Pelodiscus sinensis: one gene and its partners. The protein of the gene in region 3 purifies or fractionates together with the protein of the main gene of each other region. This does not show direct contact. Links are inferred from orthologs where the notes say so. Each region holds a gene or a part of one and is shown on either strand. Other genes may lie near its edges. The genes, in order: POLR3GL, POLR3G and POLR3H.

Evidence for each region.
Region 1: the proteins of POLR3H (region 3) and POLR3GL purify together in Homo sapiens (co-immunoprecipitation; 4 studies listed by BioGRID and IntAct, counting the BioPlex papers as one, with this or other methods). This does not show direct contact. The link is inferred for Pelodiscus sinensis from reciprocal best matches to the Homo sapiens genes POLR3H and POLR3GL.
Region 2: the proteins of POLR3H (region 3) and POLR3G purify together in Homo sapiens (affinity purification with mass spectrometry; 5 studies listed by BioGRID and IntAct, with this or other methods). This does not show direct contact. The link is inferred for Pelodiscus sinensis from reciprocal best matches to the Homo sapiens genes POLR3H and POLR3G.

Annotation. Positions count from the first base shown.
Region 1 is NC_134734.1:19,893,847-19,897,594, forward strand, and holds the start of POLR3GL (DNA-directed RNA polymerase III subunit RPC7-like), read left to right. Parts: upstream 1-1,166; 5' UTR 1,167-1,257; intron 1,258-3,748. UniProt on the Homo sapiens protein: DNA-dependent RNA polymerase catalyzes the transcription of DNA into RNA using the four ribonucleoside triphosphates as substrates. Specific peripheric component of RNA polymerase III which synthesizes small RNAs, such as 5S rRNA and tRNAs.
Region 2 is NC_134716.1:74,581,308-74,585,055, reverse strand, and holds the start of POLR3G (DNA-directed RNA polymerase III subunit RPC7), read left to right. Parts: upstream 1-1,391; 5' UTR 1,392-1,682; exon of another isoform or gene 1,683-1,774; 5' UTR 1,775-1,783; coding exon 1,784-1,903; intron 1,904-2,737; coding exon 2,738-2,867; intron 2,868-3,748. Other genes in the region: acyl-coenzyme A thioesterase MBLAC2, read right to left, coding at 900-1,374. UniProt on the Homo sapiens protein: DNA-dependent RNA polymerase catalyzes the transcription of DNA into RNA using the four ribonucleoside triphosphates as substrates.
Region 3 is NC_134711.1:89,046,536-89,050,283, forward strand, and holds the start of POLR3H (DNA-directed RNA polymerase III subunit RPC8), read left to right. Parts: upstream 1-1,408; 5' UTR 1,409-1,660; exon of another isoform or gene 1,661-1,708; intron 1,709-3,748.

The DNA of each region.
Region 1 (3,748 bases), on a different chromosome or scaffold from region 3:
GCCAGGAGGCACGTTGGGGCCACAATGCCAGTGGCAGGGTCCTGACTGGAGCTTGATGGTCCCAACCGATTGGATGGTGGGCTAGTTGGGGGGTGGGGTAGCCCTTTTCCTGCTATCGCAGGTCCCTGGCCTGCATGGCTTCATTGAGTGCCTGGACGGCGCTAAATAGGCAACTGCACAGCCGCAGCTCACAGGGATCTTAGCTCATGACGTGTAAGTTATTTGCCCCAGTGGAAGAGGCCGTAGCTCCCTTTGCTCTCATGCCCTTTGGTTTCAGGTAGGAGGCCCTCTGCCTTGGGGAACGGGCGAGCTCAGCTCTGGCTCTGGCCAGGAGAACTGGGGCCCAGTTGGGAATCAAGGCTCTGTGCATGAAGCTCAGCTGCGAGCAGGACTCCCTGTGAGCTGTGTGCTGGGTCGGCCACCCAGGAGGGATTCAGATGCCGCCCCGCTGATTAGCAGAGCACCTACAGCCGGCAGCAGGTGTTTCTCTGGGTGGTGCACATCTGCACATGCCTCGGAGCACAGAACAAAATGTATCCTGCACATGGATGGAAAACATTAGAAGGCACATTGGCTGTTAGGGTGAAAAGTACGGCAGGAGAAGAAACTGAGAGACGGCTCCAGGTCACACCAGGCTATAGCATCGGCCACCACAGGGAAGCCCTGTTCTAGAGGCCCAGCCAGCTGGGGGAGGTCTCGCAAGGACAGCGGTAACTTCACTAGCCCGCCAATAGGAAATCAGAGTGTTTCCCCCTTTGTGGCACTCCCAGCCCAGCACAGGGCAGGTCCCTTGGCTACCCTAACCCCAACACACGCGCTCAGCAGGAGTGTGTGAGCCTATGGTCTCCCCTCCCCCAGGGGGTTACAGCGCCCTGGCTGGCGGGGCAGAAAGAGAGCTGGGGGCTTGAAGACCCTCCTGGACTGTGCAGGGAACGCTGCACCTCCCCCCCCCCCCCCCGCCCCAGCTTCTCTCTCTCTCTGTCTATTTCTTCCACCCGCCCATCCATCCATCTTCCTGTCTCTCTCCCGCTCATCCTTATTTCGTTCTCTCGTCTCCCCCCCCCACCCGAAAAAAACCCCTCTGGCTCCGCCCCTTAGCTTACGTCCTTTGATTGTCCGCCGTGCACACCAATGAGCGGCGAGCAGCCGGCCTTGGGCCCCGCCCCTTCGGAACGTTGTGTATCCGTTTAGCTTCCGGGCGGAAAGAACCCACGTGGAGTCGGAGAGGGAGGCTCCAGCCCGAGTGGCGCGACCCGGGTAAAGCGCTGATTCGGTTCGGTCCGGTGCGCGGCGGCCCAATGGGAGGCGGGGAAGGGCGCCCCGCCCATACGAATCCTTCCCCGGGGCCCGGGTGGATAATCAGAGGCACCGAGCCCTGGCCCTGCTCCGGTGCGCCCGGGCCCTGCTGCGGATCCCGGGTCCCCGCTGCAGCTCCTGTCCTGTGCGTTGTGCAGCCGGGGCGGGGCCCTGCGCCCTCTGCCCGCTGTGGATCGTGGGCAAAGGGCCCTGCATTGTGTAGCCAGGGCCTGGTTGTGGGCTCTGGGCGCGGCTCTGTGCACTGTGGGGCCAGGACCGTACACCCTCAGCTCTGAGCCGTGCACTGTGGGGCCAGGACCGTACACCCTCAGCTCTGAGCCGTGCACTGTGGGGCCAGGACCGTACACCCCCAGCTCTGAGCCGTGCACTGTGGGGCCAGGACCGTACACCCTCAGCTCTGAGCCGTGCACTGTGGGGCCAGGACCGTACACCCTCAGCTCTGACCTGTGCACTGTGGGGCCAGGACCGTACACCCTCAGCTCTGACCTGTGCACTGTGGGGCCAGGACCGTACACCCTCAGCTCTGAGCCGTGCACTGTGGGGCCAGGACCGTGCACCCTCAGCTCTGAGCCGTGCACTGTGGGGCCAGGACCGTACACCCTCAGCTCTGAGCCGTGCACTGTGGGGCCAGGACCGTACACCCTCAGCTCTGAGCCGTGCACTGTGGGGCCAGGACCGTACACCCTCAGCTCTGAGCTGTGCACTGTGGGGCCAGGACCGTACACCCTCAGCTCTGAGCTGTGCACTGTGGGGCCAGGACCGTACACCCTCAGCTCTGACCTGTGCACTGTGGGGCCAGGACCGTACACCCTCAGCTCTGAGCCGTGCACTGTGGGGCCAGGACCGTACACCCTCAGCTCTGAGCCGTGCACTGTGGGGCCAGGACCGTACACCCCCAGCTCTGAGCCGTGCACTGTGGGGCCAGGACCGTACACCCTCAGCTCTGAGCCGTGCACTGTGGGGCCAGGACCGTACACCCTCAGCTCTGACCTGTGCACTGTGGGGCCAGGACCGTACACCCTCAGCTCTGACCTGTGCACTGTGGGGCCAGGACCGTACACCCTCAGCTCTGAGCCGTGCACTGTGGGGCCAGGACCGTGCACCCTCAGCTCTGAGCCGTGCACTGTGGGGCCAGGACCGTGCACCCTCAGCTCTGAGCCGTGCACTGTGGGGCCAGGACCGTACACCCTCAGCTCTGAGCCGTGCACTGTGGGGCCAGGACCGTACACCCTCAGCTCTGAGCTGTGCACTGTGGGGCCAGGACCGTACACCCTCAGCTCTGAGCTGTGCACTGTGGGGCCAGGACCGTACACCCTCAGCGCTGACCTGTGCACTGTGGGGCCAGGACCGTACACCCTCAGCTCTGAGCTGTGCACTGTGGGGCCAGGACCGTACACCCTCAGCTCTGAGCCGTGCACTGTGGGGCCAGGACCGTGCACCCTCAGCTCTGAGCCGTGCACTGTGGGGCCAGGACCGTACACCCTCAGCTCTGAGCCGTGCACTGTGGGGCCAGGACCGTGCACCCTCAGCTCTGAGCCGTGCACTGTGGGGCCAGGACCGTACACCCTCAGCTCTGACCTGTGCACTGTGGGGCCAGGACCGTACACCCTCAGCTCTGAGCCGTGCACTGTGGGGCCAGGACCGTACACCCTCAGCGCTGACCTGTGCACTGTGGGGCCAGGACCGTACACCCTCAGCTCTGAGCCGTGCACTGTGGGGCCGGGACCGTACACCCTCAGCTCTGAGCTGTGCACTGTGGGGCCAGGACTGTACACCCTCAGCTCTGAGCCGTGCACTGTGGGGCCAGGACTGTACACCCTCAGCTCTGACCTGTGCACTGTGGGGCCAGGACCGTACACCCTCAGCTCTGACCTGTGCACTGTGGGGCCAGGACCGTACACCCTCAGCTCTGAGCTGTGCACTGTGGGGCCAGGACTGTACACCCTCAGCTCTGAGCCGTGCACTGTGGGGCCAGGACCGTACACCCTCAGCTCTGAGCTGTGCACTGTGGGGCCAGGACTGTACACCCCCAGCTCTGAGCTGTGCACTGTGGGGCCAGGACTGTACACCCTCAGCTCTGAGCCGTGCACTGTGGGGCCAGGACCGTACACCCTCAGCTCTGAGCTGTGCACTGTGGGGCCAGGACTGTACACCCTCAGCTCTGAGCTGTGCACTGTGGGGCCAGGACCGTACACCCCCAGCTCTGAGCTGTGCACTGTGGGGCCAGGACTGTACACCCTCAGCTCTGAGCTGTGCACTGTGGGGCCAGGACCGTACACCCTCAGCTCTGAGCCGTGCACTGTGGGGCCAGGACCGTACACCCCCAGCTCTGAGCTGTGCACTGTGGGGCCAGGACCGTACACCCTCAGCGCTGACCTGTGCACTGTGGGGCCAGGACTGTACACCCTCAGCTCTGAGCCGTGCACTGTGG
Region 2 (3,748 bases), on a different chromosome or scaffold from region 3:
CCAATAAATCTGTTAATTTATACGATGCTACAGGACTCCTCATTGCTTTTGCATATTCAGACTAACCCAGCTACCCCCCTGATACTTACCACCAAAATCAAAATTCTTTCAGACTTATAGTGTTAGTAGTATTAAGTAAGATCTTTGGACAGGCATAGAAAGCCAACAAACCCAAAGCAACAACAACAAAAAATTCAAGCCTTTTAGCTGAATCCTGAAATACACTGATGTACATGCACTATAAACATACATCCTGATCACTTATTATAAATTAACTGATTACTATATGTGGTACAAACATAGATCACAAATGTGGAATGTAGCATAACAGATCCAGTGAGGATACCCCTTTACATAAAAATTGTTTTAGATTCAAGTACAATATACTAACACTATAAAAGTGATATATATATATTTAGATACAAATAAACATGACGCAGTGTATATAAACCGATGTTCAGTCTAGAAGCATTTTGCACAACCCAAAGTTAAAGATGCAGATCTGAAACATGCACATCTATGGACACGCACTGATTAGACACAAACGCAGCATATGCACTCCTTCCCACAGACGGTAAGGCAGACATACCCCGATGTACTGTCACACCCAGTACCCCCCTCAAGTACTGTACAGATCCAACTCGCAGTGATGCACCTACATACTGTTGTCTGACAGAGACGCACAACTCACCCCAGCCCCACTTGACTTACACACAGACACGTAGCAGCTAGTGACCTAAGTGTAAGCACAGGCACGTATACACATGCCCAACTCACCCGCCTTATATGCCTCCCCACCCCCAATAGGGCAGGTGCCCTATGGAGTGTCTGTGCAGCTTTGCCCTCCCGCCATGAACATACCCCGCTCCCCACCCCAGCGCTGACCGCCCGCCCCTTACCCTCCTGCAGGACGTGGGTGGGCTGCACGGGCTGCACTCGGAACTGCCGGGCGCTCCAGCCGGGGCTGGGCGGCCGCACCACCTCGCTGTCCGACAGCCAGGTGACGGTCTCGTAGTTGTCCCCGCGCAGCAGCGCGCCCGCCTCGGCGCTGTGCACCGCCACCTCGTCGAACTGGTGCAGCCCGCCCGCGTGGTCGAAGTGCACATGGGTGGCCACGGCCAGCAGCGGCCTCCTGCCCCCTCCCGCCGCTGCCTCCTCCGCCTCCCCGGGCCCGGCGCCCGGCCCCAGCAGCCCGGCCGAGTGCAGGTAGTCGGGCAGGCTGCGTAGCCCCAGGCCGGTGTCGATCACTACGTCGCGCTGCGAACCCCGCACCAGCCAGATGTTGGCTCGGTTGCCGGACTCGTAGAACCGCTCCTGGATCCAGTAGATGCCGCCGCCCAGGGGCTTATGCGCGTACCACTCCAGCGCCGACATGCCGGGCCGCTGCGAGCCCAGCACTGCGAAGCCACCGCCCCCAGGAGGAGCCTGCGCGGCGCCCCACCCCACTGCGGGCTGCGGCAGCGTCGCCGGGGGTGGAGCTGGCTGACACGTGTTCCCATCTTTTAAAATTGTGCCTGGAACTGAGCGCCCAGCCCCACAGAACTAAATTCCCACAGTCTCAGTTTTAAAACGCCTTCATGTTTGATTAATAGCTAAAAATGGAGTCTGGAGTCCCATTTGATTTCTAGACAGACCCACATTTTTTCCAAGCTGGAGATCATCATTGGTATGACACTTGCAATGTAAAAATACCTTTTCTCAGTCTTTGACTTTTTTCCATCTTACTTTTGGCTTTATTTTTTGTGATGCAACTAGAATCTAATAATATTTTCAGTAATTCCAAATGGCTGGGTCAGGAAAAGGAAGAGGACGTGCTGCATTTACTTTCAACATCGAGGCTATTGGCTTTTCCAAAGGTGAAACGCTACCTGAAGTAGCATTCAAGCCCCCTCCGTTGTTTCCTGTAAGTAAAGAGAACAAGCTTCATTTTAAGAACAAGTTGCATGTCTGAACAAAGTGTTTCATGTTCATATTTAGGTAATGAACCGTTAAATGGATGGAAAAAATCTAATAAATCAGTTTTGAAAGTAGCTAATCCACGTCTCTGTGTGTTCCCAGAGATAGAAATCTCAACAGCAGAGAGAGACCGTTTATAAGAATTGAGGTGTTTACACTGTGTTGTCTTGGAGCTGCACTGTGAGAGCTTTACAGATCCCATGTTCTCTAGTTTAGACAAGGCCACAGTGGGATGATTTTTTTTTTGAGACCTGTTAAATTGTATTGCTGTCCAGGAGATAACTAACATGATTAAAATATTGGTCAGATTAATTATGTTTAGCATAGATTGAACCATATTTTGGGAAGTGGTGTTGTTGAAATTGCTCTCACTGAAGTTAGCAGCAGTAAGGGCTTCAGAGCAAGTCAGCTAGCCTGAGACATTTGAAAGGGGGGGCGGGTGGAGTGAATGGTGATGTGCACCTTCACTGACCTAAAGTCAATTGAATTAGAATGTTATGTTTTTATGTTAAAAATGTTTTAGATATTTCTTGTTTTATTCCTTTCCTAATAGAGGTTTTCATGATGGATATATTAAAAAGAAAGAAATCCTTTTTACAATTTAATTGAAAAATATGCATTATAAAGTTCTGAACATATTGTCAGAATGCAGTGAAACATATTTGCAAACTAGTATAATACATAATTGAACTCCTCCATAAGTAGAGGCATTTTTTCTGTAGTTTTATGTGTTGCTGTATGTGATGGATATTAATGCAATTATGTACCTTAATTTACACAGTCAACAGGTTTTAAGCCAGTGCCTCTGAAAATGGGAGAAGAAGAAGATTATATGTTGGCCTTGAAGCAAGAATTTAGAGGAAGTATGAAAAATACGCCTTATTTTATGCCAAGCAAAGATGAAAAACAAGGTTTGTTCTGCATAAATGTAAATCAGCAAAATGTATTTGTGTATGGAAACTGTAATAATTAGTCTTTATGTTCAAGCTGTAGTACTGACACTAAATAGGGACAATGACAACTTGAAAGTTACATTTTACTAAGAAACTTCTGCAGCTAGGAGAGTTACAAGTAATGTCTAAATTTGCTGTAACTAAAAAATAAACACCAGTCTCGGAGTGTAGCTATGTTAGGCTACGTCTACACTGGCCCCATAAAACGGAATAGTCATGCAAAGCAGGTAAGTCAGAATAGGGAAATCCGCGGGGGATTTAAATATCCCCCGCGGGATTTAAATAAACATGTCCGCCGCTTTTTTTCTGGCTTGGGGAAAAGCCGGAAAAAAGTGTCTAGACTGGCGCGATCCTCCGGAATAAGGAGGAAATAAGAGATCCTCCGGAAAAGGGCTTTATTCCGGAGGATCTCTTATTTCCTCCTTATTCCGGAGGATCGCGCCAGTCTAGACACTTTTTTCCGGCTTTTCCCCAAGCCAGAAAAAAAGCGGCGGACATGTTTATTTAAATCCCGCGGGGGATATTTAAATCCCCCGCAGATTTCCCTATTCTGACTTACCTGCTTTGCATGACTTTTCCGGAATTAGGGGCCAGTCTAGACGTAGCCTTTAGTGTATAACTTTAAAAACTAGTAGGCCTGTGGCACCTTAGAGACTAGGGTTAAAATTAGATTAATCAACTAATTGAATAATCGATGGAATTTCCATCAACTATTTGATTAGTCGATAAGGGCTCTTCTGCTTTGAAATGTAGCAAGAGCCCACCCAGCTATTGATATATTTCAAGGGTGTAAGTGCCATGTGTGTTCCACATTTGAAATGCACAAGAGCCCCAGCAGG
Region 3 (3,748 bases):
CACTGTGACATGTTGAAGTTATGGCAGCATAAATAAAATAAACTGAATTTATTAGCAAAATAAATCACACAAAAGAACACTGCACTGGTTATAGGCATGGAATAAGCACACTGGGCTCAGCACACTGGGCATCACGTTACTGACCTTGCTCATTATGTACCCAACCTTCCCCCCAACGCAAACTTCTGCCTGGATTAAAGTGTTGGAGAACACTTTAATCCATTAACACTCATTAATGGATCTCCAAGTCACCGTATTGTTTCAGACCAATTCCACAAGCCAAATACAGGGAAGGATTGGAACTTAACTTCATTTACAAGTTTAATTCTTATGCAAATGGATGAACAGGGACATCAGCTGGCTGGCACACTACCTTCCACATCTGAATGACTTAACCAACCAACCCAACAATGGAGGTGCTAATTGTTCTTATCAGCCTCTTGAAATTATTTGAACCATCTACTCCAGTGGTCCCCAAGGGTGCCTGTGGTTACCATGGCACCCGCCAGGGCATTTATGTGCGCCCACCTAATGACCGGGGCTGGCCCGAGCCATTCTTGCGTACCGGGCCCCGGGCGCATGCGCGGCCCCAAAAGGTTGGGGACCACTGATCTACTCACTATCTCTCTTTTTTCTTTACCCAGCCTTTTGTCTTTTTTCCCCCCCTCTTCCCTTATTTATTCTTGGATCTGGACTTTTAACACTCCAGTCATCTGAAGAAGTGGGTTGCGCCCACAGAAGCTCATGATACCATCTACACGTTTTGTTAGTCTTTAAAGTCTACCAGAGTATTTGTTGTTTGTAAGTGTATTGTACATGTTTTGTTCGTCTTTTAGGTGGTACTAACTACTCTATGTGTTGTTTTTTTAAAGTTTTTCCGGTTACAGACTAACTGGGCTACCCCTCTGACGCGTTTGTATATTGCTTGTCTTTGGGAACTGCATCTAACTAGCACCAGGGGACCCTGTTGCTCCTACAATTACTGTCTCACAGCTGCCTAAGCCCAGCCTCCATTGTGTCCGTTTATTTCAATGGTAAATATTTCTTCACCCCCCCCCCCCCCCCGCAAAAAAATTACTGAGCTAGAGGGGCCTGTAATTTGTTTTCCTGTGGCCTAGCGAGGTCCCCTCCCCGTGGCTGGGTCAGCCACAGCCCTGGCGTGGCTCCCCGCGCGCTGCCCTGCCACACCCCCCCGGCGGGTGACACGTGGGGGCGGCAGCTGCTCTGTTGACAGTGCAACGCGGGCGGAGACAGCCTGGCTGCCGGGGCCGACCCCGCCCGAGACACTTCTCGCCCCGCCCCGCACGCACGTTTCCGGCTCCCCCAGCCGGCACCAGCGCGGAGGGAGGGGGCGGGGCTAGCTCGTGGCGTGGCTGCCCCAGCCTGGCGCCCGCGAGACTGGGAGGCGGGGGACGAACGTGCTGGGTCCAGGGGCAAAAGGACGCAACCTCGCGCCAGCTCCACCACGGAGCTAGGCCCGGCTCGGGGCACCCCTTGGTCATCTGCTAAACTCCATGTGTCAATCAGCCCATTCGGCCCGCCCCTGAAAGGCGATTGGCCCACGCACCGGAAGTCACCTGGCTAGTAGCTGGGAGGCAGCCGCGGCGTGCGGGACTATCTGCTGCCGGGGCTGGGCGCTGCTTATTGGCACGTGGGACAGGTCGGTGCGGGGGATGTCAAAGAGGCAGGCTGCTTGGGGAGAAACCAGGTTGGTCGTCCGGCAACTGCCGGTGTATCCCGCCATGCATTGCGGCATCATAGAGTCCAGTCTCGCTGGAGGGCCGCCCGCGGGTTCCTTAGTAACCCTGGAACGGGGGGAGGGGGGGGGAATGGATGTTCATGCTGGGTCACGTGACTGGGGGGAGCTCGGGTCCGCGCGCTCTGACTCCGGGCCGTTAACGCCGTTGCGCTGCACGAGCCCAGCTGTCCCGGCGACCCTGCCCGGCGAGGCTGAGGCTGGTAGCGGGGCCCGGTCGTAGCGGCTTCCCCGCTGCGGGGCATCGCCAGGGCTCGCCCTGCCCAGCGACCCCTCCAGTGCAGCTGGGGAGTGTTCCCCGCTTGTGCCACGTGCCCGGGGCTGAAGTGAAACCCTCAGGCTATTACACTGGCCTGTGCTTTTGCCAAGAGCATCCGTGCCAGTGTAGATGCTCTCTTGCGCAAGAAAGCTCTGATGGCCATTTTAGCCATTGGGCTTTCCTGTGCAAGTAATTCATGTTGCCTGTCTACACTGGCCTCTTGCACAAGAACAGTTGCACAAGAGGGCTTATCCCTGAGCGGGCGCGAGAAGCCCTGATTTCACACATTAGAGCGTCAGTGTACGTGCGCAAGAACTCCCCGCCAGTGTAGATAGGCAGCAAGTTTTGGCGCAAAAGCAATTGCTTTTGCGCAAGATTATGCCAATGTAGACACAACCTCAGAGTGACGGGCTCAGTGCCCTCTTCACCCATGGGTCTGACTCAAAAACTTGTGCCAGGCTGCACTGGCAGCGACCCCTTATTCTTGCCATGTTCCATATTTCTCAAGGTGCCACGTGCCTGGGGAAATAATTTAAAAAGTCCCTAATAAGGGGAAAACAAGGTTTTTGCTATTCCACTTAAAGGTGAGTGGGGTGTGGAAGGGCGTGAAAAAGAGGCAGATGCCTCAAGACTTGGCAATTTAAAGGGGCCCAGGGCTTCTGTCCACTGGCATTGCTACCTCCGAAGCAGTCAGATCTCTGAGCCCTTTAAATTGCTGCTAGGGCCCTGGAGGTACACACCTTTTTCTCTTTGAAGTCTGTTCTTGAAGTTTTTTTGTTGCAGGATGGCTACCTTTAAATCTGCTACTCTGTGTCCAGGGAGATTGAAGTGTTCTCCTACAGGTTCATTCATCTGCACATCTACCAATGTAATATATGCCATCATGTTTCAGCAATACCCCTCTGCTATATACATCGGCCAAACTGGACAGTCCCTATGTAAAAGAATAAATGGACACAAATCAGATATCAGGAATGGCAATGTACAAAAACCTGTAGGAGAACACGTCAATCTCCCTGGACACACAGTAGCAGATTTAAAGGTAGCCATCCTGCAACAAAAAAAACTTCAAGAACAGACTTCAAAGAGAAACTGCTGAGCTACAGTTCATTTGCAAATTTGACACCATCGTTTTAGGATTAAACAAAGACTGAATGGCTAGCCAACTACAAAAGCAGTTTCTCCTCTCATGGTGTTCATACCTCCACATCAGCTGCTAGGAGTGGGCCTCATCCTCCCTGACTGAATTGACCTCGTTATCTCTTGTCTTACTCTTGATTGGAACTCTTTTCTTATGCCTGTATATTTATACCTGCCTCTGGAATTTCCACTACATGCATCTGACAAAGTGGGTCTTTGCCCATGAAAGCTTATGCTCCAATAAATCTGTTAGTCTATAAGGTGCCACAGGACTCCTCATCGCTTTTTCAGATTCAGACTAACACGGCTACCCCTCTGATAGATGAGCTAAGAACCACCCAACCAACCCCCCTTCTAATCATGCTCTCTCAGGAGATCTTCCTTTCAAAGCCAGCAGAGGGCATAATTCCTCTCTAACACTTGGTCTTGTCTTATGGATATATCCTCAGCATTGAAGATGAGCTCTTTCTGAGCTGTCATGTTATTTGTATTAGTATTGTGCTTAGGAGCCCTGTTGCTAGGCACTGCACTGTGAAGAAAAGATGTTGCTTGACCGGAAGAGCCCATGACTATATAGGATTGAGCTGGAGACT